Elephas maximus indicus: one gene and its partners. The protein of the gene in region 3 purifies or fractionates together with the protein of the main gene of each other region. This does not show direct contact. Links are inferred from orthologs where the notes say so. Each region holds a gene or a part of one and is shown on either strand. Other genes may lie near its edges.

Evidence for each region.
Region 1: the proteins of UBTF (region 3) and RUNX2 purify together in Homo sapiens (co-immunoprecipitation; 3 studies listed by BioGRID and IntAct, with this or other methods). This does not show direct contact. The link is inferred for Elephas maximus indicus from reciprocal best matches to the Homo sapiens genes UBTF and RUNX2.
Region 2: the proteins of UBTF (region 3) and SIRT7 purify together in Homo sapiens (affinity purification with western blotting; 3 studies listed by BioGRID, with this or other methods). This does not show direct contact. The link is inferred for Elephas maximus indicus from reciprocal best matches to the Homo sapiens genes UBTF and SIRT7.

The regions. Positions count from the first base shown.
Region 1 is NC_064819.1:109,904,229-109,911,847, forward strand, and holds the start of RUNX2 (runt-related transcription factor 2), read left to right. Parts: upstream 1-4,610; 5' UTR 4,611-4,625; coding exon 4,626-4,683; intron 4,684-7,619. UniProt on the Homo sapiens protein: Transcription factor involved in osteoblastic differentiation and skeletal morphogenesis. Essential for the maturation of osteoblasts and both intramembranous and endochondral ossification.
Region 2 is NC_064837.1:71,705,507-71,713,525, forward strand, and holds the start of SIRT7 (NAD-dependent protein deacetylase sirtuin-7), read right to left. Parts: upstream 3,095-8,019; 5' UTR 3,065-3,094; coding exon 2,972-3,064; intron 2,901-2,971; coding exon 2,763-2,900; intron 2,437-2,762; coding exon 2,332-2,436; intron 667-2,331; coding exon 596-666; intron 481-595; coding exon 408-480; intron 1-407. Other genes in the region: transcription factor MafG, read right to left, coding at 7,530-7,982. UniProt on the Homo sapiens protein: NAD-dependent protein-lysine deacylase that can act both as a deacetylase or deacylase (desuccinylase, depropionylase, deglutarylase and dedecanoylase), depending on the context. Specifically mediates deacetylation of histone H3 at 'Lys-18' (H3K18Ac).
Region 3 is NC_064837.1:50,744,038-50,751,757, reverse strand, and holds the start of UBTF (nucleolar transcription factor 1), read left to right. Parts: upstream 1-4,651; 5' UTR 4,652-5,060; intron 5,061-5,426; exon of another isoform or gene 5,427-5,516; intron 5,517-5,803; exon of another isoform or gene 5,804-5,893; intron 5,894-6,700; exon of another isoform or gene 6,701-6,786; intron 6,787-7,173; exon of another isoform or gene 7,174-7,259; intron 7,260-7,720. UniProt on the Homo sapiens protein: Recognizes the ribosomal RNA gene promoter and activates transcription mediated by RNA polymerase I (Pol I) through cooperative interactions with the transcription factor SL1/TIF-IB complex.

The DNA of each region.
Region 1 (7,619 bases), on a different chromosome or scaffold from region 3:
TTGTGGGTAGTAGTTTCCTGCTTTAGCCTAGCCACATCCTCAGCTGTCATACGAGCATGTTTCCCATATTTTCTGCAAGTTCTCGCCTTTTTTTTTCCTACTTGCGGAAATGACAGCATTAGAAGATGAATTGTCCCAATAATTATAAGAAACATAAATTACTTATATGGCTATATTAAACAAGTATGGATCACTCTGCACTTCAAAGTACAGTCAGAGAAAAAAGAAACAAAAACTAATCTCATAATTAAAGTGTTAATGACACATGAAGCAACGTGCTAAAGCAAAATAACATAAAGGAAGGATTCAAGGACCAAGTGAAAACAATTAAAAGAAAGAAAATCTTTGTAGACAGAAGCCAACACAATGCCCACACACGCCTAACAAATGAGGTATAATATATCAGAACGTAACAATAAGTTGCAATGAATGTTATGAGCTTCTAACCTGCTAGGTATTCATTAGAAGGATTAATGTCAATATCCCTTACTAGAATTTTAAGAATCTACTTTGAGACTTTATAAAAAAGTCAGAGAAAAGAGAAACAAACAAACAAAAAGGCCGAAGTACAGTGAAGGGGGAGAGAGAACAGAAAGTTAGTTTAGTACTTTCTCTTTTGGCATCCAATTTCCACATAATCTCACATTTAAACTGAGATTAACAATTAACCAAGTCAAACGGTTCAAACAATCAAGGAAATGGTGATGCTTTGGGATTTTATAAATTTAATTAAAATAGAAACAAAAAATACTCCCATAAAAATTGCTACAAAGCATCGCCCTACGCACAACCACCACCACACACGTGTGTGCAGTTCTGTATGCAGGCATACACCTCACTAAAATAAGGAAATGGAATTAATCTCTTGTAATCATAATTTAAAATACTAACAAAACTATACTTATTTTACTAATATAAAAAATTTACAAGGCATCAATATAAGGCCCAATAAATGCTATGTAAGTTTGAGCAGCTATATATCAAAAATAAAAATAAAAAATAAACTGTCACATACCAAATTGAAACAATAAATTAAAAAACTTTTGCGAAAACCTCATAATCAGTGAGAACATATTAAGCCAAATTAAGACTCCTATAGTTTATAAAATTCCCACATCAAGGCTTCTGCTCCTATTGTTTTCAATTAAAAGAAAAAGACACTGGTGACAAATAGAACTCTAACACAATCCTAAAAACAGATAAACAAAAAGCACGGAAACAAGAACGATATTGGTAAAGGAAAAGTAGTGTATTAAAATACTATCGTTAGTTCAGGAAAAAAATTCAAATGGTAACAATGAAGACATACGTAGCACTTAAAGCAGTTTATAATGTATTATTTGTAAACGTTTTGGTATCTTAAAAATTTCAACCAATTCTGACAACGTTTATTAAATACAAAGTAATGGGGAAGCAAGACACTAACTTTTTGACTTTTTGCAGTAAGCTGTATCTCATTTCCGTAACATTAAAGAACATAATTTACACAGTAGACCTAAACTTGCTGCTTACTTAAACATAGCAGATGCTAACATACCTCCAGCAGGATGAAGTTGTGAAGGTCTTAAAAAACAAACAAACAAAAAAAGTCCTGTGGTTTTCATTTGTGATTACAAACATGGATACAAATCTATAATCAAGAGGTTTATTTGCACATTAGCTTTTCTGAATCAATCTCTCTTCATCACACGTAACAAGCTATTTTGAATGAAACAAACTGTCAATTATCAAATGCGTACCAGTTATCAGTGTTGTTTTAAAATTTCTACCACAAAAAAAGATATATTTTCAATTTAGGAAAAAAAAATTATGTGTGGATAATAAATATGCAAACTTTAAAACACATAATTTCGCTATCTTTCTCCTGCCAGGCTGTGATCGGCCTCACGCAAGACCAAAAGGAAAGGACCTATTAAACAATATCTACCAAACTCTTCTGCATTGAGTGATGATTCTGACCCAAAGATTTTGTGCAGGAGGGTAACCTGCAATAAGAGAACAAGTAATTAGAAGGCACATTGATGTTAAAAATTACTCCAGTTTTCATGGACCAAAGTATACATAAGACAAAAAGAAAATAAGGAAGAAAATACTCAGCAAAAAGTTGGGGTTGTCTGAATGTCAGAGAACCCTGATGCATAAACAAAAACCTTATCCTAAAGGAAGAAAATCATTTACTTATCAAACTACAGCAGTTACCCAAAATTTTCAATTGCCTCACTCTGCTATTACATGTGCAGAAGAGTTTAAACTTCCATAAATTATGAACAAAACCCTTCTTTTATTTACTTTAGATACTAATTAGATATATAGATCATACCAGCACCTTATTTATGAAATAGAATACCCAAATAATTTATTTTCTCCCTTTTACGTGAATAAGTGTGTTAAATGAAAATTGTTGCTTCTCGATATAAAACCTGATTATACACAAAATCAGCAGGATAAATATGTGCTTAAAAGAAATCATTAAAATGTATGAAAAAGCTCTGGACATTTGAAAAAGAGATTAAAATAATTCCTGTGTCATCCCAGCATGTTTTGGACAAATCAAAAATTTTTGTAAAGAAATTTATGGACATATTTGTACAGCAATAGCAGATAATGAACTGTGCTAAGAACACCACGTGCAGGGGTATTTTAGCTCTAACACCCTCCTGAGTATTTCCCCAGCCCTTATTATCCCATTGTACACCCCCAAAAATGTTTTGTAACTCACTGTCTCCGCCCATTCTCCAAGTCATTGACTTCACGCCACTCCTAGTTACTATCACACTAGGAAGAAGTCTAACAACTGAACACACGCAAGTTCAGTGTGGCGTGGATAAATCGCAAAAATGCCTAGAAAATTGGTATGTTCGGCTTTATAATTTTTGTTGAAAAATACCCCTCGCTCTCAATTGATGAAAACAGGAAGCCCTATTCATAAATATAAATTTCACTGCCTATGATATACAATCATCCTAATAAGAAAATGAGTTCTATACATACATGTCCAAAGGGGCAAAAAAGGAGATAGTTTCCCAAAGATGTTTCCAATTTTCTTCTGAATCAGAATTAGCAAATCGAGACGACTAACATACTCTGTCTGTGTGCATTATTCCTCACTACACACAGCATTTTGTAATTTATTTCAAAGCTTCCATTATAAACAAAAAATTCAGCTTCTCTTAACCCACTCCATCCTGAGCATATAAAGTCTAACACTGAACAATCTAAGTCATAATGTAAGTATTTTACTTTATGAATGCATAAGATTTGCTATCAAAGACTCTGTTAAAGTTAATGGCGCCAAATAAACTGAAGAATTCTACAAAATGAATGCATTTCCTTGAAAGATAATAATTGTACTACAAGCATAAAGAAAACTAAGACTCATTCAATAAACTATCTTACAATTCTTGCCATTCATTTTTATAAAACCCTCAAATTAGTTGTGACGTAAAAGTATATGTGATGTTACAGTCAATCTTTATTGTAGAGACGTTGCCATCTAATATTGATAATCCATAAGCTATACAGACATAAATTAATATTTGTAAAGGTATCTCCAGACTAACACTTTCATGACAGCCAATTACAGTCCAGCCCAGCAAGCAGTTCACAACCAGACCTTAAGAAAGGTAAACTTTTTTTTTTTTTACAATGAGTTACAGACTCACAAGTTTAAGAAAAAGAAAAACAGAAGGAATCCAGCCACCCAGCAAATATGAAGCAGACCCCAGAATGTGATACAATCCAAAGATGTAAATTATTGTAAATCATCACTGTTGTTCAGAATTTCGCACAGCCACTTGAGCCAAATTTTGCTCACTCTTCCACAGACACAATAATAAACTAAAAGGAGGAGGCAAAAAAAAAAGGGGGCGGGTGGGGGGGTGGGGTGGTAGGAAGGAAAGAACAGAGTTCTGCTCTACAGATGCTTAACCTTACAGGAGTTTGGGCTCCTTCAGCATTTGTATTCTATCCAAATCCTCATGAGTCACAAAAATTAAAAAGCTATATCCTTCTGGATGCCAGGAAGGGCCTTACCACAAGCCTTTTGTCAGAGAGAGAGAGAGAGAAAGAGAGCAAGAGCAAGGGGGAAAAAGCCACAGTGGTAGGCAGTCCCACTTTACTTTGAGTTCTGTGAGGTCACAAACCACATGATTCTGTCTCTCCAGTAATAGTGCTTGCAAAAAAAAGGAGTTTTAAAGCTTTTGCTTTTTTGGATTGTGTGAATGCTTCATTCGCCTCACAAACAACCACAGAACCACAAGTGCGGTGCAAACTTTCTCCAGGAGGACAGCAAGAAGTCTCTGGTTTTTAAATGGTTAATCTCCGCAGGTCACTACCAGCCACCGAGACCAACAGAGTCAGTGAGTGCTCTCAAACCACAGTCTATGCAGTAATAGTAGGGCCTTCAAATATTTGCTCATTCTCTTTTTGTTTTGTTTCCCTGCTTTTCACATGTTACCAGCGACATAATTTCTTGACAGAAAAAAATAAATAGAAAGTCTATGTACTCCAGGCATACTGTAAAACTAAAACAAGATTTGGGTATGGTTTGTGTTTTCAGTTTAAGGCTACAAGCAGTATTTACAACAGAGGGTACAAGTTCTATCTGAAAAAAAAAAGGAGGGACTATGGCATCAAACAGCCTCTTCAGCACTGTGACACCATGTCAGCAAAACTTCTTTTGGGGTAAGTGTTATCATATTTTAAAATACTATAAGAGATGAACCTGTTAAACATAAAGCTATATGTCTTAGATAAAGTGCTAGCTCTTGAAGGTAACAGTATATTAAAGATCAAAATAATGCTGTATTGTTGCACTAAAATACTAAAAGATGAAATTGCTATACATATTTGCATTTGGCATCTGCCACTTATCTAATTCTCAGAGTAATGGCTTGAAATATTCAAAAATAAGTTACTTCGCATTAATCAAAATGTCTTCTAGAGTTATGGAAATGAGAATGCTAAAACAGTAAAAAGAAACAGCTTAATATTGTCTTTAACCCTCACTGGAATAAAACTAGACACTAAGTTAATCAAAGTATTATAAATTATTGACTCCGGCGGCTCCCAATATTTGAGCAAACTTCAAAAAGGAAGCAATTTTACAAAATAACAGACCACAGAATTATCCCAACATTATGCTCTACCATGCAAAACAGAAATAAGCCTACAGTTAACATTTGAACCAGCTCGACTAAAAGAAATCTATTTACAATTTTAAACTGCTTTATAAGGTATCTGCACAAGTCTATTTCTAAACAGCTTTATAAAACTGAAGCATATATTCAACTGAAATAAAATTATAGGTATACAATAACCATTTTTAAAAGATCTTTACAGTTGCCTAGAATATTAAAAAGTTCAGAGAAGTCTTTAAAAAATTACATGCAATTGTGTTTCCTATATAATTTTATTTTTACATCTAGACACTATTATCCATTTGTAGAACTTGTTATAAACACATAACAAACACTGAAACGTCTAAGATTCTTTTAATCACATTCTTGGACCTACCAAAATGAATACCATTTAGTCTCATGAAAAATAAAGCTCCGTAAGGATACCCTGCTTGATTTAAAAGAGCCATACCTATTAAATCAAGCTGGATTTTAAAACATGCATAATATAATCCCTTAATACCTAATTTCAAGTTAGTGTTGATACAGATATGTAAACTATTTTAACATCTGTCTGCTGCCATGGTATTATAGTAAAAATCTAAGCACTTACAAGATTTTCTTTATGATGTCCAACATGCTCCAACTATAATGCAAGTTTCTAAAATTTTCTTACATCCTTTAAAATAAATCCTTTTGCTGTGTATACCTATATTAACATTGCTTTGTAACTTACAACTAATGATTGGGGTTTCCTTTACTCCTCCTACTTCACACACATTTTAACTGGCTACTACTTGAGGATCAGTCTTAGTTTAGGTCAAAGAGAAATAATTAAATCTGAAGGGGGGAAAAAGGGTTTCTTTTAAACAGCGAGGAAGTGTACTTTGTATATTACAAAAAATGTAAAATTATTGTAGTGACCTCCTCAATAACCATAAGTGGACCCCCTCAGTTATAATGCATACAATAATCACAAATTATTTTTTAAATGTAATGGTGGGTTTTAAGCATTAATCTAAAAACTTCTATATTAAGAGAGCAGAACATAAATACAACTAGACTGTACTACATCTTATAATTACAGCTTATACATGGGAATTTTTAGTCTTATTACCCAAGAGATGAGAGGAAAAAAATGGTTAAAATCATTGTCATATAGAGAGATAACAAAACAGGCATATCAAGCAGTTAATTTTTAACAATATTACTCTATTAAAGAGAAAAAAAAATACACTTTTCTAACTATATTGGGAGCACCACGAGTTCCAGGGAATACTCCAGCACTAGAAGTAAAGCTATTATTATTGACAGAGAGAGTAAGTTAAAATGGTCTTATATTTTCTATCAGGTGTCTTATATTTCCCTGACATTTTAATAACCATTTTTACATTAAGATTTCTGAAATTTGATCAAGTTTCTACACAAGGGATAATAGTGAACTGAGCAGATAAAGGTCATCTTCAATTGCCTGTCATACTTTTGACTAAACATTGCAAGGAATCTTTTTTCTTCTGAAAGGCGGATTTCACTCCCCCTTCTGCCACCACAGTGCCTTAGAGCCTGGATAGAGAACTTAACATGAACCCCCAGACCAACCTAATTACAGGGTGGGCAAGGGACATTATGTATAGGTTATCATCACACTGCAAACATTTTCCCATTCTATAATCTATTTGAAGTCTAAAACTTCACTTCAGGTTTTAAATTCTTATATGATGATTATAACCATCAACAATGAAATGTCAAAAGCACGTGCCCCGGCTTTGTGAAGTAGTTAAAAAGAAAGCTTAGGCTTTTCCTAGGTGAGGGACAAAGCATACCGTTGACTGACAGCCTCTCCTTAAATATAATGAAGTGTGTAGTGCGTGCATGTGTGTGTGTGTGCGCGCGCGCACATGAGAAAGATAAAATCTGTGTCCTTGCTCCTCCAGAATACCATTTACCTTGAATTAATCAATAATTTTCAAAATCTGTGAGCTACTCAAAATGTTATTTATCATAAACAAAAGCTATAGAAAATGATAGATGTGACTCATGTAGTTCTACAATTAAGAACTTATTTATGAAATGGTATCATCTAACTAATTAAATTTCTACATAAAATCTTTGTATCTGACCGTAGTAATTGACTGCAAATGATGTGTGAACACTGATTTCCGAAACAATAGTTGTGGTCCATATTAGTAATAATAGCTTTATACTGTCAAGATTTACTAGTGATAAAGTGTCCTAACTTGCTCCTAAAATAAGAGTGCTACATTCCAAAATAACAGGGAAAAGAATTAAAAAGTCAAGAACATAATGAGAAGGCTACTCTACATATATTAAAAGCTAGCAATGTCAACACAATTCCCAAAAACTTGTATTGTAAATATTTTAATTTATAATAATCCTAATTTTTAAAGAAAAATTGTTCACTTTTAAATTTTAAAAATATTTTAAAATGTCAAAGATTTAAAAGAAATAACAGGGAAAAAATTTTGTTAGTCTGTGTAAATC
Region 2 (8,019 bases), about 21 Mb from region 3:
CGGGCTCTCAGAGTCGCTCTACCACAGGACGGGGGCCTGGGCTGGCTCTATGCCCCCTAACGGCTCAAGCACGAATGGGAGGTAAGCGATAGCAGCGCCCCTCTTAGCTGGGAAGGAACTCGGGGCTCCAGTGAGGCAGACGGCGGGGGTCGCTCTGCCCAAAGTGCACACTCTTGGGTCACTGTCTCAGATCCCTCCAGACCCAGGTGAAACCACCCTCCCCCACTCGTTGTGAACCGCCTCCTGTGACTAGGGCTGTGTCTGAGGTTTGCGAGGGTAACACAAGTGAGCATGAGGACAGGGGCCATAGCAGCTCTGGGACTGAGGCCATTAGAGCAGAGGAGCCTTGGCCGAAACTGGCCTTGCTCCTCCCCAGGCTCCTGTGTGCTGCCCACCCATGTGCTTACCAGCTTCTGCTCATGCAGGCGGGCAATGCTCATGTGCGTGAGGGTCGGGTCGGCCTCGCTCAGGTCAGTGGCACTGCCGGGTCAGGGGAAGAGTGAGGTGAGGGTGCTGCAGGGTCAGGCTGCTCTGCCCTGCCCTCCTCTCTTGCTCAGTGGCCCCGGGGTGGAGTGGGTGGCTGAGGTCTGCTTACCTGATACTTCTCCCTTTCTGCAACAGCGTCCACACTCCATTGGGGCCCCGATAATCTGGAATGGAAGCCGCCTGCATGTCCAGAAAGAAAACAAGTCTGGTAAAAGGGTCTCACTGTCGGGACCAACTGAATTTCCAAGAACACGAAGCAGGCGTCTCTCCTGCCTCATTCAGGGCCAGCCCATGACTGCCTGTTCCCCTACAGACCCAGCGCCTGACCTGCCTGACGGGTGTACCACCCGTGGCTCCTGCCTTCCCAGACTCCCCCTTCCCCACTGCACCCAGCTTATCCTTCAAGGCTGGAGGAGGCCACCCACTCTGGGAGTCCTTAGCACCACCCACAAACCTCTGCTGTATTGCCATGTCTGCCCTCCACATGGTGGGAAGCACTGCTCAGCTCCTCTGAGTGTCCCCAGGCTGAGCCCAATACTCAGGAAACACCAGCAAGTGGGGGACCCCTAAGTGGGAAGGCTCTTCTGTCCAAATTCTTACACATCTGATCCTTTTATCTCTAAGAGGCTCCTGTTCTACTTTAACAAAACCAGGACAATCTCTCCAGATGAGAAGAAATGCTAGTTTGTTTCCCAAGTTTCCGGTACAGGAAAACGAGCCTATCTGAGAGAAAAGGACAAAGAAGGCTGCCAAAACCCAGGTGCCTGTGCTCTCCGGGCTGAAGGACCTGCCTTCCCATCACACTAATGAGCAGCACCTGGCTTTTAGGACCACTGATAGCTCTCCAAAAGGCCACAGTCCTGTCTTTCAGTAACCACATGACTGAATTGTACATTTGACTGGTAGGGAGGGGGGAAGCCTGACTGCCTGGGCTCCAGGTGCTCACAGGTTAGATCACCGAGAACCTTCCACATTCTCACTACCCCAGTTCAAGGCCACCTCTCCCTAAAAGCCAACCTGAGTTGAGTTTCCCCACTCCCTGACCCCACCGAGTGCAGAGCCTGGATTTGTCACATCCCCCTCACACATTCAACTCCACGTTACCACTGTTTGTTTACACGCCTTGTCACATTAACAACAGGTTTCTCAAAAAACAGGAATCAGTTGGTGTTCACCTCTGTGGGGTGACACGTGCCTGACGCTCAACACAGAACCATCGTATTAGACAGAGTATGTGCCAGTCACACTTCCAAAGCTAGTCATGTCCCACAGCTCCTCAAAAAATCAGGATTCGCATCCTTACAGTCTCACTTTCTATTTTCCTCCAACGTGTAGAAACCACGAAGAAGCCAGGTTCAGGAGTCAGCTGCAGGGGTAGCTCTGCCTACATGACCGTGGGCCAACGGGTTAACCTCCTTCACCGCAAATGAGGAAGTACCTGCAAGCACTAAGCTGTTATGTCCTGTTTTTTCTCCTCTGCTTTTCTTGTCTTTAACCAGGTGTAACAGAGTTCCAGCATCTTTATAGTGTTGGGAGTTTTATGCTCCCTGTTAGGCAGTGCCGTTTGTATTTCTCTAAGAAAGGAAAACACTTTACAGCTGTTCTATTTTGTTTTTCACCCCAGTCTACAGTGCTGAACTCTGTTCTGGGGTGCGTCACCCAGAAGAGGGCGCCCCATGGCCACCCCTGGGACCGGCAGCCACGTGACCCATGGAGCGCGCGCTCTCAATTTCTCTGGGGCCAGGAAAAGTCCTATGAGTCAGAATCGACTCCACGGCAACGGGTTAGGGGAAGAGTCCGGAGGGCGTGGGGTGACCCGGGGCGCAGCTGTTCACCCGTCCCTACCGTGCTGATCCCTGCGCCTGTGTAGACAACCAAGTATTTGGAGTTCCTGACGGCGCTGGCCAGCTCCTGGACTTTCCTCCGCAGCTCTTCCGGGTCATCGCATACCTGCGAAGACGCCGAGACTGGTCATGGCCCTATCCTTCGCTCTTGCCCCCCACCCCAGGAGCTGAAAAAGCCGGGCCAAGCAATCCCAGGCAGATGACAGCTACGGCAGGAATGCCGTCTGAGACACGCTGGGAACGAGGCCTGACACGAAGCACGCTCTGGACTACGAAGCGCTCCCATTCCTCCGATCCACGCCGGCACCCACGTTTGCTGTCACCTCAGGAGAGGCGACGGGGCATCGGGCCAACCGAGTGGCCCGGACCGGCCAGCGCAGAGCGAGAAGCACGCCCTCGGAGCGCCGCGCCCGTCCGGCCCGCGGGACTCGCCTCCTCCTGGCGCCGCTTCAGGCCCTCGCGCCGCCGGCTCCGGCCCTGCAACTCTGTCACTAGGTCCTCGCTCTCAGCCAGCAGCCGACCTTCCTCTGCGCTGCGCTCAGTGACCGCCTTCCTCAGGATGCGGGACACCTGCGGACGCGTGGGCGAGCGGTCAGGGTCGCGTGGGGCCTGGCCCGGGCGGGGCGCGGGCGGTGGCCTACCTGGCGGAGGCGCTCCCGCTGCTGCTCCTCCCGCAGCCTCCGGACTCGCTCCGCCGCCTTGCGCTCGGAGCGGCTCAGACCGCCGGCTGCCATCGCTCCCCGGCACCTGCGCTTCCGCTTCCGCCTCGCCGGCAGCCTCGTGCCAGGCGCATGCGCGCGTCAGGCCCCGCCCCTTCCGGCCCCGCCCCATCAGCCCGCACCTTCCAGCCCAGCCGCAAAGAAGCACCTGCCAGTCTCTTTAAAAGGTGTTTATTGATCATATACAAAATAAAGAAAACCTTATATATCACAAACATACACTATGTACAGCAATAAATACCCGGGGGGCCCGGCCCAGCGCCGCCCCTCCTGGACAATAATTTAGCAATAAATACTGCGCAGGGCGGGTGGCGGCCGCAGGCCGGCCGCTGCCCCGAGCGGCGGCCCCACGCCCGGCCAGCCCAGCCCGCTCTAACCCCCACCGTCCCGGCCACAGCACTGGGCAGGGTCTCACCAACTCCCTCCGACCCCTCTCAGCGCCACAAGGGCGGCAGAGCCGGACACCAGGCAGCCCTTGTCCTGTTGCCCTAAGTTGCCAGGAGGAGCTTTCTGTACCCACTCCCGTTTGGTTAAAGGCTTCGGGACTAAGCAGGGTGAGGGATGTGGAGGGGGCGGGGAAGGGCAGGAGGTGGCTAAGGGGGCCAAAACCCAACTGGCGTCACCCAGAACTGGGAGATGTCATAGTCCACCGGGCTCCGACCCACAAGACACCCAGTGCGTAGAGGCTGCTACTCCTAGGGGTGGGTAGAAATTGGTGCCATTGGCACTCAGGTGCCCCACCTGCCCAGGACACATACTACATAGCAGAACAGGCTATAGGCAGTCCCGCGGGCACACTCCCACCTCCGCATGGCACCCACCATGTCCTCCACACTCCTCGGCTGCTCCAAAGCCACTGATAGCCAGCAGGAAGAAAACAAGCAACACAAAGAATTATTCAGTGGCTTCTGGGGGGAAAAATCGTTAATGTGTTGGTTCCTTTCACCAAACCACAGCCTAAAAAAATAACTCACAAGATCCCAGAGCGGAAACAGCCCTGCAGGCTGTGGCTCGGCTTTCCAGCTGCAGACAGGGAGCTGTCGAGAGGGAGGTACAGCCAAGGGGCCACTCCAGAGAGGCAGGCAGCAAGGCAAGACAGGGCCTGACCAGGTATCCCAGGGCAGGCTGTGGCTAGTCAGTGCTATGGCCAGGCACTGAGACCAGAGGATGCTGACAAGTGGGCAGACCTGAGGCACGGACCCAGAGCAGAAAAGCCTCCAGCCTCCAGGGAGGGCAGGTGCCCAGCAAATACACCAGTGCCACACAGAACCACCAAAGAGCAGCAGCTGGGGATGGGGAGGCCCTGTGAGGTCAGACACTTCGAGCAGAGCTGGCCTGTTACTTCAGGGTTGTTTTCAGAAACCCGAGTGTCCATGTTGGGATAAGGGTGCAGCTGGGGCAAGTTCAGGGTCAGAAAGGGATGCGCATCTTGGTTTACGTAGCGGACAAGTTTGAAGACTTGGCCTCGGCCCAAGCCTCGACTCGCTGTGTCAGGAAAGTTCAGGAGAGAAAGGAAAAAACAGAACACAACACGTTCACGGTAGAAAACTCAATCAACAAAGGATTAGACAGACACAAAACAGTTACACGTGGACACGGATCTAGTGCCAAGAAACCAAGGGAAAAGGGCAGAGGGGCAGAGGGGCAGAGCAGCCCCTTAGGGCTGGCTTGGCAGGACGGGAAGGCTCCCGCAGACCCAGAACAGTGGCTTCAAGTCCAAACACCATGAATGCAAGCACGGCATTCTCACGATGTCACTCACTCCAGAGCAGCTTCTTCCACAGGCTGAGTTAAGGACCGGTACCTGCTGCCACAATGCTCACCATCAAGCCCTTCCTCGCCTCACCCACTTCCTGCCTCTGCTCTCCCAGCTGGCCGTATGTGGCCTGCAGAGGCACTTAGAGATAGACGACAAGCTCCCACGCCAATGACAAAAGTGAGAACAGAGCAAGGGAATGGAAGGTCTGTCCTCCTCGCTCCACCACATCACACCCTCTCTTTCAGGCTCCTGGTGATACAGCTGGAACTCACTGCTACATCACCACCCTGGCAATGCAGCCTGGACCCGAGAGGGACAAAGCCCGACGCCAGGGAGGGCTTAAACCATGGAGGGACTTGGAGTCACAGAGCTGTTTGTGGGCCAGCCAGGAGCATCTGAGCAGAGCCCCAGAGAGGCTACACCATGTATGGCACGTGCCTGCCACGACCGCAAGCACGTGTGTGGCCACACTCGCTGACAAGACACCACTGCCTCAAGGCTGTCCCGGGTGCCCGCCTCGCTTCTTACTCTCCTCAGCAACCCTCACCTGTATTCTCTAGCGCTCTGGAGATACGGGCCAGCAACCCTGGGAGAAGCCAAGCCCCCGTGGCCAGAAACAGAGCTGCAGCATCTCAGGCCATGCTGTGAGCCGACCCAACACACCCTACCAGGAGCTTCCCGTACCAAGGCTGGAGGGTCATCTGCCCGTCCAGTGGCCAGCATGGGGAGGCAGCAGCCCTGGCTTGAGCGGAAGTGCCTCTGAAAGCCAAGCAGCTGGTCCCTGGAAGACAAAGATCCCAAAGGGAGGTGGAAGAAGGGCCTGGAGCTGAGAGCTGTAGGCCTGCACAGGGGGAGGGGGGAAGGGCCCAGCGTTGAGGTCATAGCCCTTGCTGGCACTGATAGAGACCCGCTCCCCAGGCCCTTGGGGCGAGGCAGGGATACGAAGAAGCCCTGCTCCTGGGGAAGCACCACCCCAGCCCTGAAACACTTCTGGGACAAGTGGGCGGTGGGGTCATAGCCCCCCGTGTTGGCCCAGCAGCTGACAGAGGTCACGAGGGAAGCCCAGGAGCAAAGCTGAGGCCAGACCTGTGCTGCTGATAAGAAACAATGAGGAAGACAGATGGGGCAGCTGGGCCACACCCCATGGGCACCCACAGTGACTCCTGGGTCCCTGCCAGGCCACCGCCCAAGGCCAGAGGCAGTGGACATGGAGGCAGTACGGGAGGCCACTGAGAGGCCCCCAGTTCCACCTGCCCTGTCACTGGCCCAGCCCAAGTCCTAGAGACACAAACGCACTCTCACACACACGCACACGCAGGAAGCTGAGGGTCAACAGGGGTGGGGAGCAGAGCCCAGTGTCTGCATCCAACATACACCTAGAGCAAGGCCAGGCCACCAAGGGGTACAGGGTAGCGTGGGAAGAAGGAGAGGCCGTGCTGCCCAGCACCCTGGCCCGGCAAGCCAGCAGGTGCAAGATCACAACCAAGTCCCAAAAACAAACACGGGGGAACAGATACGAGAAGTGACACCCACAGGTCAAAGGTCACCAGAAGCACCAGCACGTTACGGCCACACAAGACCTCACCAGGCACAACAAAACCACGGCACCGGCAAGAGACGGAAGCAGATAGGGCAAGGCCTAAGTCACTTTCGGTACAATTGCAAAAGAGATATCAAAGGGGACGTTAGGACGCGCCTGGGGGGGTTCGCGGTTTGGCTTTTTTTTTTTTTCTTTTTTCTGTCTTTTTTTAAACTAAGTTTTATAAATAATGTCTGATAACTCTGTGTTTATAAAAACTAAACTCCAACAGCCACAAAGAGTTGTCCATAAATTTACAAGAAAGGGCTTTTTTTTTCTTTTTTTGAACTACCAAAGCTTCTGTTACGCTTTCTTCCCTTTTCCACTGACAGGGTCAAATGCTCTTCTTGCCTTTTTTTCTTTTTTTTTTTTTAAAAAGACAGTTTTATAAATACTTTGCAGCTTTTTTTTTTTCTGTAGCTTTTAAACATATAATTTAATAACTTCGTAAAAGGAACTTACTCTCTCTTTTCAGGGCTATTTAACCACACAAACAGATCATGTAAACAGTGACACAGGACCCACCGAGAGGATACACTGGACACACCCTTCACAGACGCACACAACCAGTGATTTTGGTCTCATTCAGTGCAATACGTTAGGTCCGAGCGCTGCACCTGTGGCCCACAGCCTCACCATGTCCTGGCTGCTGGGCCCAGCTGGGCTCAGCCCGCAGGGGCCTCACAGGGGGCACACCTGCTCTTCAGAGCGGGGCCAAGCTGCCCGCGGGTCTGTCTAGAAGGAGTCACGCAGCGCCCCCCTCCAACCAGTGGCAGCAGTCAGGGGCCTCCTACTGGAGGGCCCCTATTTAGGGACACACAGGTCCCACCTCTCTCCCACTCCCTCGTCCACCTCCACGGGGCAGACTCTAAGCCCACACAGCCTTGGTACAAGGGGGCAAGGGGTGACCCAACATCACCACCAAACTGACCAATCCCAACGTACAAGACACACGAGGACACAACAAAATCAATGGGGCTCAGCCCGGCACCCGCCTGGTGGAGGTTGTGCTTTGTAGGGCAGGAAGGAAGTTGAGAGGAAGAAGAAGGAACAGAGAGGAAGAGGGAAGAAAGGGGGACAGGACTGCCGAGCTCACCACGTGCCTGGCGGCCCCTCGCTGACCCACCGGGGCGCGCACGTCCCTACGACCGGGCATCTGTCTTGGACTTGACTATCGTGATGACGCTGGTGGCAGCCACCTTGCCAGGGACAAGGGGCCCCAGGCCGCCAGTGAGGGGGCCCCGGGCCGGCGCCACCGGGCTGCGGGCCACGGTCCTGGCGAAGTTCTGCAGGGCCTCATACTTGGAGCGCAGGGCGTCAAGCTCTAGCTTCATGCTGGCATTCTCCGAGGCCAGCTTCTCCACCTCCTGCTGCAGCTCCGCCTTCTGCTTCTCCAGCTCCTCCTTCTGTGTCACCCGCTTCACGCGGCAGCTGGCCGCATAGCCACGATTCTTGAGTGTACGCCGGCGCTGCTTCAGCTGGATGATCTCCTCCTTGGAGAGGCCGCGCAGGTGCTGGTTCAGCTCCCGCACAGACATGGTCACCAGCTCCTCGTCCGTCAGGCTGGTGCCATTCTCGCCAGGCTCCCGCTTCACCTGTGGTGGACGGCACATGGTCAGGGCAGCACGCTCT
Region 3 (7,720 bases):
GAGGCAGCTGCAGATCCACAGCCAGCAAAAAGCCAGAATATCTGCTTATATTCTGATGCAGGCCACACCCCCAAGGAAACACCCCTTCCACTGATCCCCTACTCACAACAGATTCCATCATGGGAGTGATCACATATAAACACTGAGAATCAAGGCTCACAATCTTAACCATCACATACTTCTGTGAAACTAATGAGGCAGGATTAGGGGCAGTTTATGTTAATGAGGCAGAACTCAGTCTACAAGATTAGGTCATCTCTTAAGTCAGTCTCTTTTGAGATATAAAAGAGAAGCAGAGAGACAGGGGACCTCATACCAGCAAGAAACAAGAGCCAGGAGAAGATCACATCCTTTGGACTCAGGGTCCCTGCATTGAGATTTTCGACCAGGGAAGATTGATGACAACGACCTTCCCTCAGAGCCGACAGAGAAAGCCTTTCCCTGGAGCTGGCACCCTAAATTCCGACTTCTAGCCTCCTAGACTGTAAGAGAATAAATTTATCTTTGTTAAAGCCATCTGCTTGGGGTCTTTCTGTTATAGCAGCACTAGATAACAAAGACATAGCCCTTTACTTGACGATGGGAATATTCTATATCTATATTGTCCATAGGTTCACCACTAGCCACATATGGCTATGGAGCACCTGAAGTGTGGCCAGTGTGACTGAGGAACTGAATATTCAATTCTATTTCATTTCAATTAATTTAAACTTAAATAGCCACATGTGGCTAGTGGCTACCCTATTAGACAGTGCAGCTATAGGGTTTTCTGAACTTAAGTCATTCACACATCACCTTAATTATCTTTGCCAGATCTTTGAGCCACTAATACTATTCTTTCCTTACTATTGTTCTTTTCACTGACTCAGCTTTAAAACTCAAATAAACATATTTAAAAAGATGATTTTATATGTGAAAAGGTGCTCAACATCATTAGTTACCAGAGAAATTAAAACCAAAATGAGGTACCACTACATGCCCACTAGAGTGACTACAATAAAAAGGACTGACAATATTAGGTGTTGGTGAAGATGTGGAGCACCAGGCATTCTCATACACTGGTGGTGGAGGGTAAATTGTTACAACCATTTAGGAAAAAAGATGCAGGAATTCCACTTCTGGAAATATATCCAAGAGGAATGAATGCATATAGTCCTCAAAAGATATCCACAGGAATGTTCAAGGTAGCTTTATAGCCATACAATTGGAAGCAACCCAAATTCCATTAGAAATAGAATGGATAGATTGTGGTGCATTCATGCAATGGAATACTATATAGCAAGGAAAAGGAACGAACTATGGCTACATGCAATATCGTAAATCGATCTCAGACATCATGTTGGGTGAAAGAGGCCAGAGGTAAAGGAGTATAACCAAACCCAGTGCCTTCGAGTTGATTCCGACTCATAGCGACCCTATAGGACAGAATAGAAGTGCCCCATAGAGTTTCCAAGGAGCGCCTGGCGGATTCAAACTGCCATCCCTTTGGTTAGCAGCCATAGCACTTAACCACTACGCCACCAGGGTTTCCATAAAGAGTATACACTGTATAATTCCACGTGCATGAAATTAAAAAATGGGTAAAACTTAGCTATATGATAGAGCTCAGAATATTGGTGACATCTGGAGGGGGATATTGACTTTGAGTAAGCTTGCAGGTGCTATAAGTGTTCAATATCTTGACCTGGGTGGCAGTTACACGGTAGATACATATGTAACATGGATACTATAGATACCACCACCAGTTGCCCTCAAGTCAATTCTGACTCATAGCATCTCCACGTGTGTCAGAGTTGAACTGTATTCCACAGGGTTTTCAATGGCTGTTTTTTTAGAAATAGATTGCAAGGCTTTTCTCCTGAGGTGCCTCTGGGTGGACTCGAACCACCAACTTTTTGGTTAGTAGCCAAGCTCACTAACCGTTTGCACTACTCAGGGACTCCATACTATGCATACCAAAAACAAAAAAACATGGCCTTTAAGTTGATTCCGACTCATTACTGTCTGTAAACTATACCTTCCTAAAAAAGAAAAAAATAAATAAAAAGAATAATAAAGGAACAATGGTTCCAAAACAGGTGAGGGGGGAAGACTTTACAACTATCTTAAATAAAAATAAAACACATTTCAATACACGTTAGTACATGCAACCCCGAAAATACGTTAATCTATGTGCCACTGAAATTATTCACGCACACCAGGAACTCAAACACCAGACTTTGTGAACACACTACGAGGTTTTTATGTGGGCTAGTGCTGGGATGCTGGCAACCAGGGAAGAGCTGGGGCCAAGTGGCAAAGGTGTAGCTAAGGCTTATGCCTCCTCACCAGCCTGGGCTGGGTCATGGAATGCTGAGGATCTGCTTCAAGGCTTATGCCAGAAACTAGAGGGGGTTGGAGGGTTGGGAAAGAGGACAAAGAAAAAGGGCCAAGGGCAAATTCTCTCAGCTCTGGCCCATAGCCCAAGTCCTAGACTTGGCCCATAGCCCAAGTCCTAAACTCCTGACCTCATCAGAGATGCAATGGATGTAAAACAAGCCAATGGGTTTCCAAGTAGGAAGAGTGCCAGCCATGATTTTTGCTACCCAAGGAACGAAAAATCAATAATAATCATTCTTATGATTCATGTCTATCCTGTTTTGTTCCAAAGCACTTTACCGAAAGGTCCCTTGGCCCAGCCAAGAAGTTCAGGACCAGGACCCAGGACACCTGGACTCCAAATCCGTGTGTGAAATAGTTGGAATTTTTGGGGGGTCTAAGTTTTTCCCAATGTCTTTGTGGCAAGTGACATCTGTAGTCTATTTTACAGTTTTACAAAATTTTAGCAGAGTAAATAGGATGGCTAGTCTAATTTTGCAGATGTGGAAATTGGAATTCTTAAGAGGGTGGTGAAGCTGGGACTTTTGAGTTCAAACTAACTCTTTGCTCTTTCTCAGTCTAAACAGAAGTTAGTCCGTGCTTCACTCTTTAGCACAGGAGAGGTGTCTTGATCAGACACAAAATGAATGCCCTGCCTGTGTTCCGGGGCAGATCTGGGTCTGTGGAGCCTGAAGCTTAGACAATTTGAGGTAGGCGCTCTTTCAGGAAAATACCAAATGTTAAACACAAAATTAAGTACAGGGCTTTTGGCCCGGCTCTGCCAGGGAGAGGCCTTGAAGCTTAAGCTTCATTAGCATGGTGTGGCAATGGTGAAGCATTTGGTTGTTAACCAAAAGTTTGCCAGTTCTAACCCACCTTGCTGTTCCACGGGAGAAAAGCCTTCACGGTGGGCTCCCTAAAGAGTACAGCCAAGAAAACTCTATGGAGCAGTTCTACTGCGTCATATGGGGTCGCTATGAGTTGAAATTGACTCCATGGCGCCTAACAACAAGAACAAAGTGCCTTCCCTGCATGCCCTGCCCACTAAAAGCTCTGGACACACCAGATCTTGACAAGGATTTTCCTCCCTATTTGTGAAACGTGGCAGATGTGGATGTGGAAACCCTGGGAAGAGGATCTCGTTTCTCCCAGGAGACAAGAGGAATTACAGCAGCATCGAGGCCCTGTGTGAGGCTGGAGTAGGCTGTGTGCCAGGGGAGAATCCAAAGGGGCTGGTGACCCAACTGGCGAGTCGATGTGGCAGTAGCAGCTTTGGAGAGGGCCACTGGCAACTGGGAGCCAGGAGCGATGGCGCTGCCCGTGCAGCGAAAGCACAACCCCTAGGCTGGCCTGTGGGAAGCAGGCGTTCTTCAGACTGTTTTCTGGCTCCCTGCGTCCAGATAACCCTTCCTCGGAGCAGGGAAGGCCGAGACCGACAACGACAGCCGGCGGCAGTGGGGGATGGATGGTGGTCGGCGCCCAGGCCCTTCCATCCCCCGCCCGCAGGAGGGTGGAGTGCGGGCGGCCTGCGAGGGACCTTCCCCGCTGCGGCTCCGGCGGCGAGGCCGGGGCGCCGGGATCCCCTCGCGGTTCCCAGCCGCCGGGGTTGGGGGGGGCAGCGCCCGCGGCCTGCTTTCCCAGGGCTGGCCAAGCCTTTTTGACAAGCTGATTGCGTGACGGGGATTGGCTGGTCCCGGAGTGACGCCGGTAACAACAAAGGTGGAGTTGGAAGAAATTAGATTAAAGGAGAGAAAAAAAATTAAAGGGGGAGCTGGCAGGGGACGGGAGGAAAAGACCGAGGGGAGAAGCGCGAAGCGCGGTCTTCCTGCTCCGACTTCCCCCCGGAAGCCCTTCGGCGCCAGCCGGCCAGGATTTTGCTCTCTACCTCTACCCCGGCCCAGCGATCGAAGCCGGGGTAGGAGTGGTGGCTGCTACTGCTCGAAAAATTCCCCCACTCCCATCCTGACACCCCTCGATACGACCCAGGGGGAGAACTTTTTGCTCGGACTCCTCGAATCCTAGCTCGGCGGAGGTGGAGGACGTTGAAAACGAGAGGCTCGCTTTAAAACCCGGAAGGCCCTCGCGGGTTTTAAAGCAATCGGACGACACGGGGTGTTTCCCCGGTTTTTCGATGTGTTGCAAATCTAAGAAAAGCGTCTTTTCTTTTTTTTGTAACAACCCCTCTTCGCTTCCCTCCCCCCCACCCCTCGCTTTGGCTTCAGGGTTGCAAAAGCAAAGAGCAATAAAAAAAAAAAAAAAAAAAAACCGCGCACACACTCAGACACACACCAGTGGCGACAGGGGAGAGTTGGGAAGACGCAGGAGAGAAGCAGGAGGCAGCCGGGGAGGGAGCAATGGGAGCGGGAAGCAGGCAAGTTCCCTCGCAAATCCCCCTCCGGCCCTACGCCGGCCGCCTCGCCGGCTCCGGCAGGGGAGCGAGGAGCCGGGCGAGCAGATGGAGAAGTGGAGCTCGCTCTAGGCAGCGGGCTTGGCCGGAGAATGGAGGAGCCGCCAAGCGACCGGCTGATTGGAAGAGAAACGCAGCGCGATGGAGGCGGGGGTAGGAGGACGATTTCTCTGCGGGGACTGGCGGCGGCGTACACGCCCGGGTCGGGCGCTGCAGAGCTTGGCTAGCTTTCAAACCGCGCTCGCCGGCTCCAGCCCCACGCGCCCCCACCCCAGTCCTCCCGGCGGCTCCGCAGGTGAGTGCGAGCTGGGGGCAGAAAGACCCGGAACAGTCTCCGCACGCCCGCCCTGGAAAAAAAAAAAAAAAAAGCAAAAAAAAAAAAAGCATTTTTCTTTTTCTATTTTCGTGCAGCCCCCAGCGCGGTGGGAGGGAAGGGGTGAGGCTGAGCCGCCCGAGGAGGCGGAGGGGCCAGGCGAGGCCGGGGTGGCCCGGGAGGCGGCGGCGCCGAGGCGGCTCTGACGGGCAAGCGCTCCGAGCGGCGCTGCGCTGCGCCGAGGCGGGCGGGCGGGCGGAGCGGGGCGGGCGGAGCGCGGCGCGTGGGGCTCGCCATTAGCCGTCGCTCCGCTTCGCCATCGCGGGCTTTGTCTGGCGACTCGCTGCCCCAGCGTCGGCTGCAGCGGAGCTGCGGCTCCGCTCCTCGGCCCGCCGCGCCCCCAGGTGCCCCCGGTCGGCGCTCGCACCCACACGCCCGGTGAGTGAGCCCTGGCGCCGCGGGATTTCGGGGGAGAAGGGTTGCCGCGAGCGGCTGCCAATCTCCATGCGCCGGAGCAGGCCTGGGGAAGCCATGCCGGGCTGGATTGAACCGGCTCCCAGAGCGGTTCCTCCGCCGGAGCCCGTCGCCCCCTCGCCGTTTCCGGGGTGTAAGAACCAAAAGGGGATTTTTTTGCGGGGAGGGTGTTTTGTGGGCTTTTTTTAAGTTTCGTGTGTGTCGTTCGGCAGCGTGGGGACCGCGAGGTAGGCGAGTGCCGGAGCCAGGCGCCGCGATCGCCGTGCGTGCGTCCCAAGCCGGCGGCCACGCTCCGGGGATAAGGGTGGGCGCTGATCGCCCGCTCCGGGAGACGGAAGCGGGTGAGAGCTGGCTTGGGAGCCCGGGTTGGCGCTGGGAGGATTGGCGGGAGCGCTCCGGAGCGGGGCCACGGGCACCCCGAGCCTCCCTGGCCGCCGGGGGGCCCTCCGGGCACTCTCACCGCGGCGCGCCTCGCGCCCTCCCTTCCGCGCCTGCTGAGCCTGCTAGTTTCCCCGCGAGTCTGGCGAGGTCGCTCTCGGCGCCCGCCCGCCCGCCCGCCTCGGCTCCGAGCCCCGCCGCCATCCGGGCGGCTGCGTGTCTCCCTGCCCGGCCCCCCCTCCCCGGCGGCAGCAGTAGCCGCCGCCGCCGCCACCCCCCTCCCCTCCTTCCTTCCCTCCGCCTCGGCCGCCCGGGTCCCCCCAGCTCCCGCCCCTCCTCCCAGCTGCCCCCCGCGGAGCCCGCCCGGGCAGGCTGTGGGAGGGAGCGGAGCCGGCGAGGCGGGCGGGCTGGCGCTCGCTCCCCGGGGGTCGGTGTGCGCTCTACGGGGAAGGACGCGCTCGCTGCCCCGCTTCGCCCGCCCCCTCCCGCTCCTCCTCCTCCCTTCTCCCTCCTCCTCCCCGCTCCGGCGGCGGAGGCTGCGGCGGCGGCGGGGGGTGTGCGAGCTGAGGCCGGGGCCGGCGGGCGGGCGGCGGGCGGGCGGCGGGCGGGCTGCCTGCAGGCGGAGGGCGCTGTGCTTTGTGCTTTTCGCCGCGAGGAGCAGCAGGCAGCAGCCACAGCCGCCGCCGCCACAGCAGCAGCAGCCGCCGCCCCAGCGCCGCCGCCGCGCCCGGAGGAGGAGCCGCTGCCGCCGCGGGAGGGAGCTGCGGCTGTGCCCGGCCGAGCGGGGGAGGCGCCGCTGCTCAGAGCCGGGGAGGGAGCCGCGGGAGCGGGAAGCCTGGAGGCCGCGCTGCGCCGGGTAACCGAAGCGGGCCGAGGACGCGCGCCAGGGTCGGGGCCGGGGAGCGAGCCGCGGGCGCGGGGGACGTCCGGCGGGGACCCGGGGCGACCTCCGGACAGAGGACTGGGCGAGAGCAGACCAGGGCACTGGGGAGGACGCCGAGAGCAGAAGGAGGGGAGGACAGGAAGCGAGGCCCGAGCCGAGCCCGGGCCGCGGGCGGAGAAGCCCGCGCTTCTCCGGGCCGGCAGGCGCAGTTCTCGCCGGCCGCCGGAGGGGGCGGCTGGGCCGGTGAGCGCTGCGCCCCCGCCTCCCGGCCGCCGTCCTCCCGCCCTCTCCTTGGCTCGGCTCCCCGGAGGCCGGGGCGGGGGCGCCGGCGGGGCTGGGCCGCAGGCTCGGGGGAGGAGGCGGCGGTTCCCGCCGCGGTCGCGCCTCTGCGCTGGGCTCCTCCGTGCGCGTCGGGTGGCTGGGCGGTGGCAGCGCTTCTGGCCGGGGTGGGTGGCTCGGGGGCGGGGGGCAGGCTAGGCCGCTTCTCTCCGGCTGCTCGCCTGCCCGGGCGGGCGAGGACAGCGGCGGGACCCCAGGAGGGGGGGCGGCGGAATCCGGATCCGGTCCCCGGGGGCGTTGCGGCCGCTGCGCTCCGGGGCTGGCGGCGGCTGCGCTGCGTCCGGGTCCCCGCCGGGTTGCGGAGGCGGGGGGAACCGGCCGGGGGGGAGGCGGGAGGAGGAGACTGGGGCGCGTGCCCGCTCCCGCGGCCGCGCGCGCCCTTTACCCGCCCTTCCTCCTCCCCCGCCCTTCAGCCTGGGGCCTCCCCGGGGCGGGCAGACAGAGGAGGAGGAGTTTTTTTTTTTTTTTTTTTGGCCGGGGTGGGGGAAGGAGGGTGGAGGGCGGGCGCTTGCTGCACGCGGGAGCAGCGAGCAGTCTCTCGCGTGGGCAGGGGCGGGCGCACGCCGCG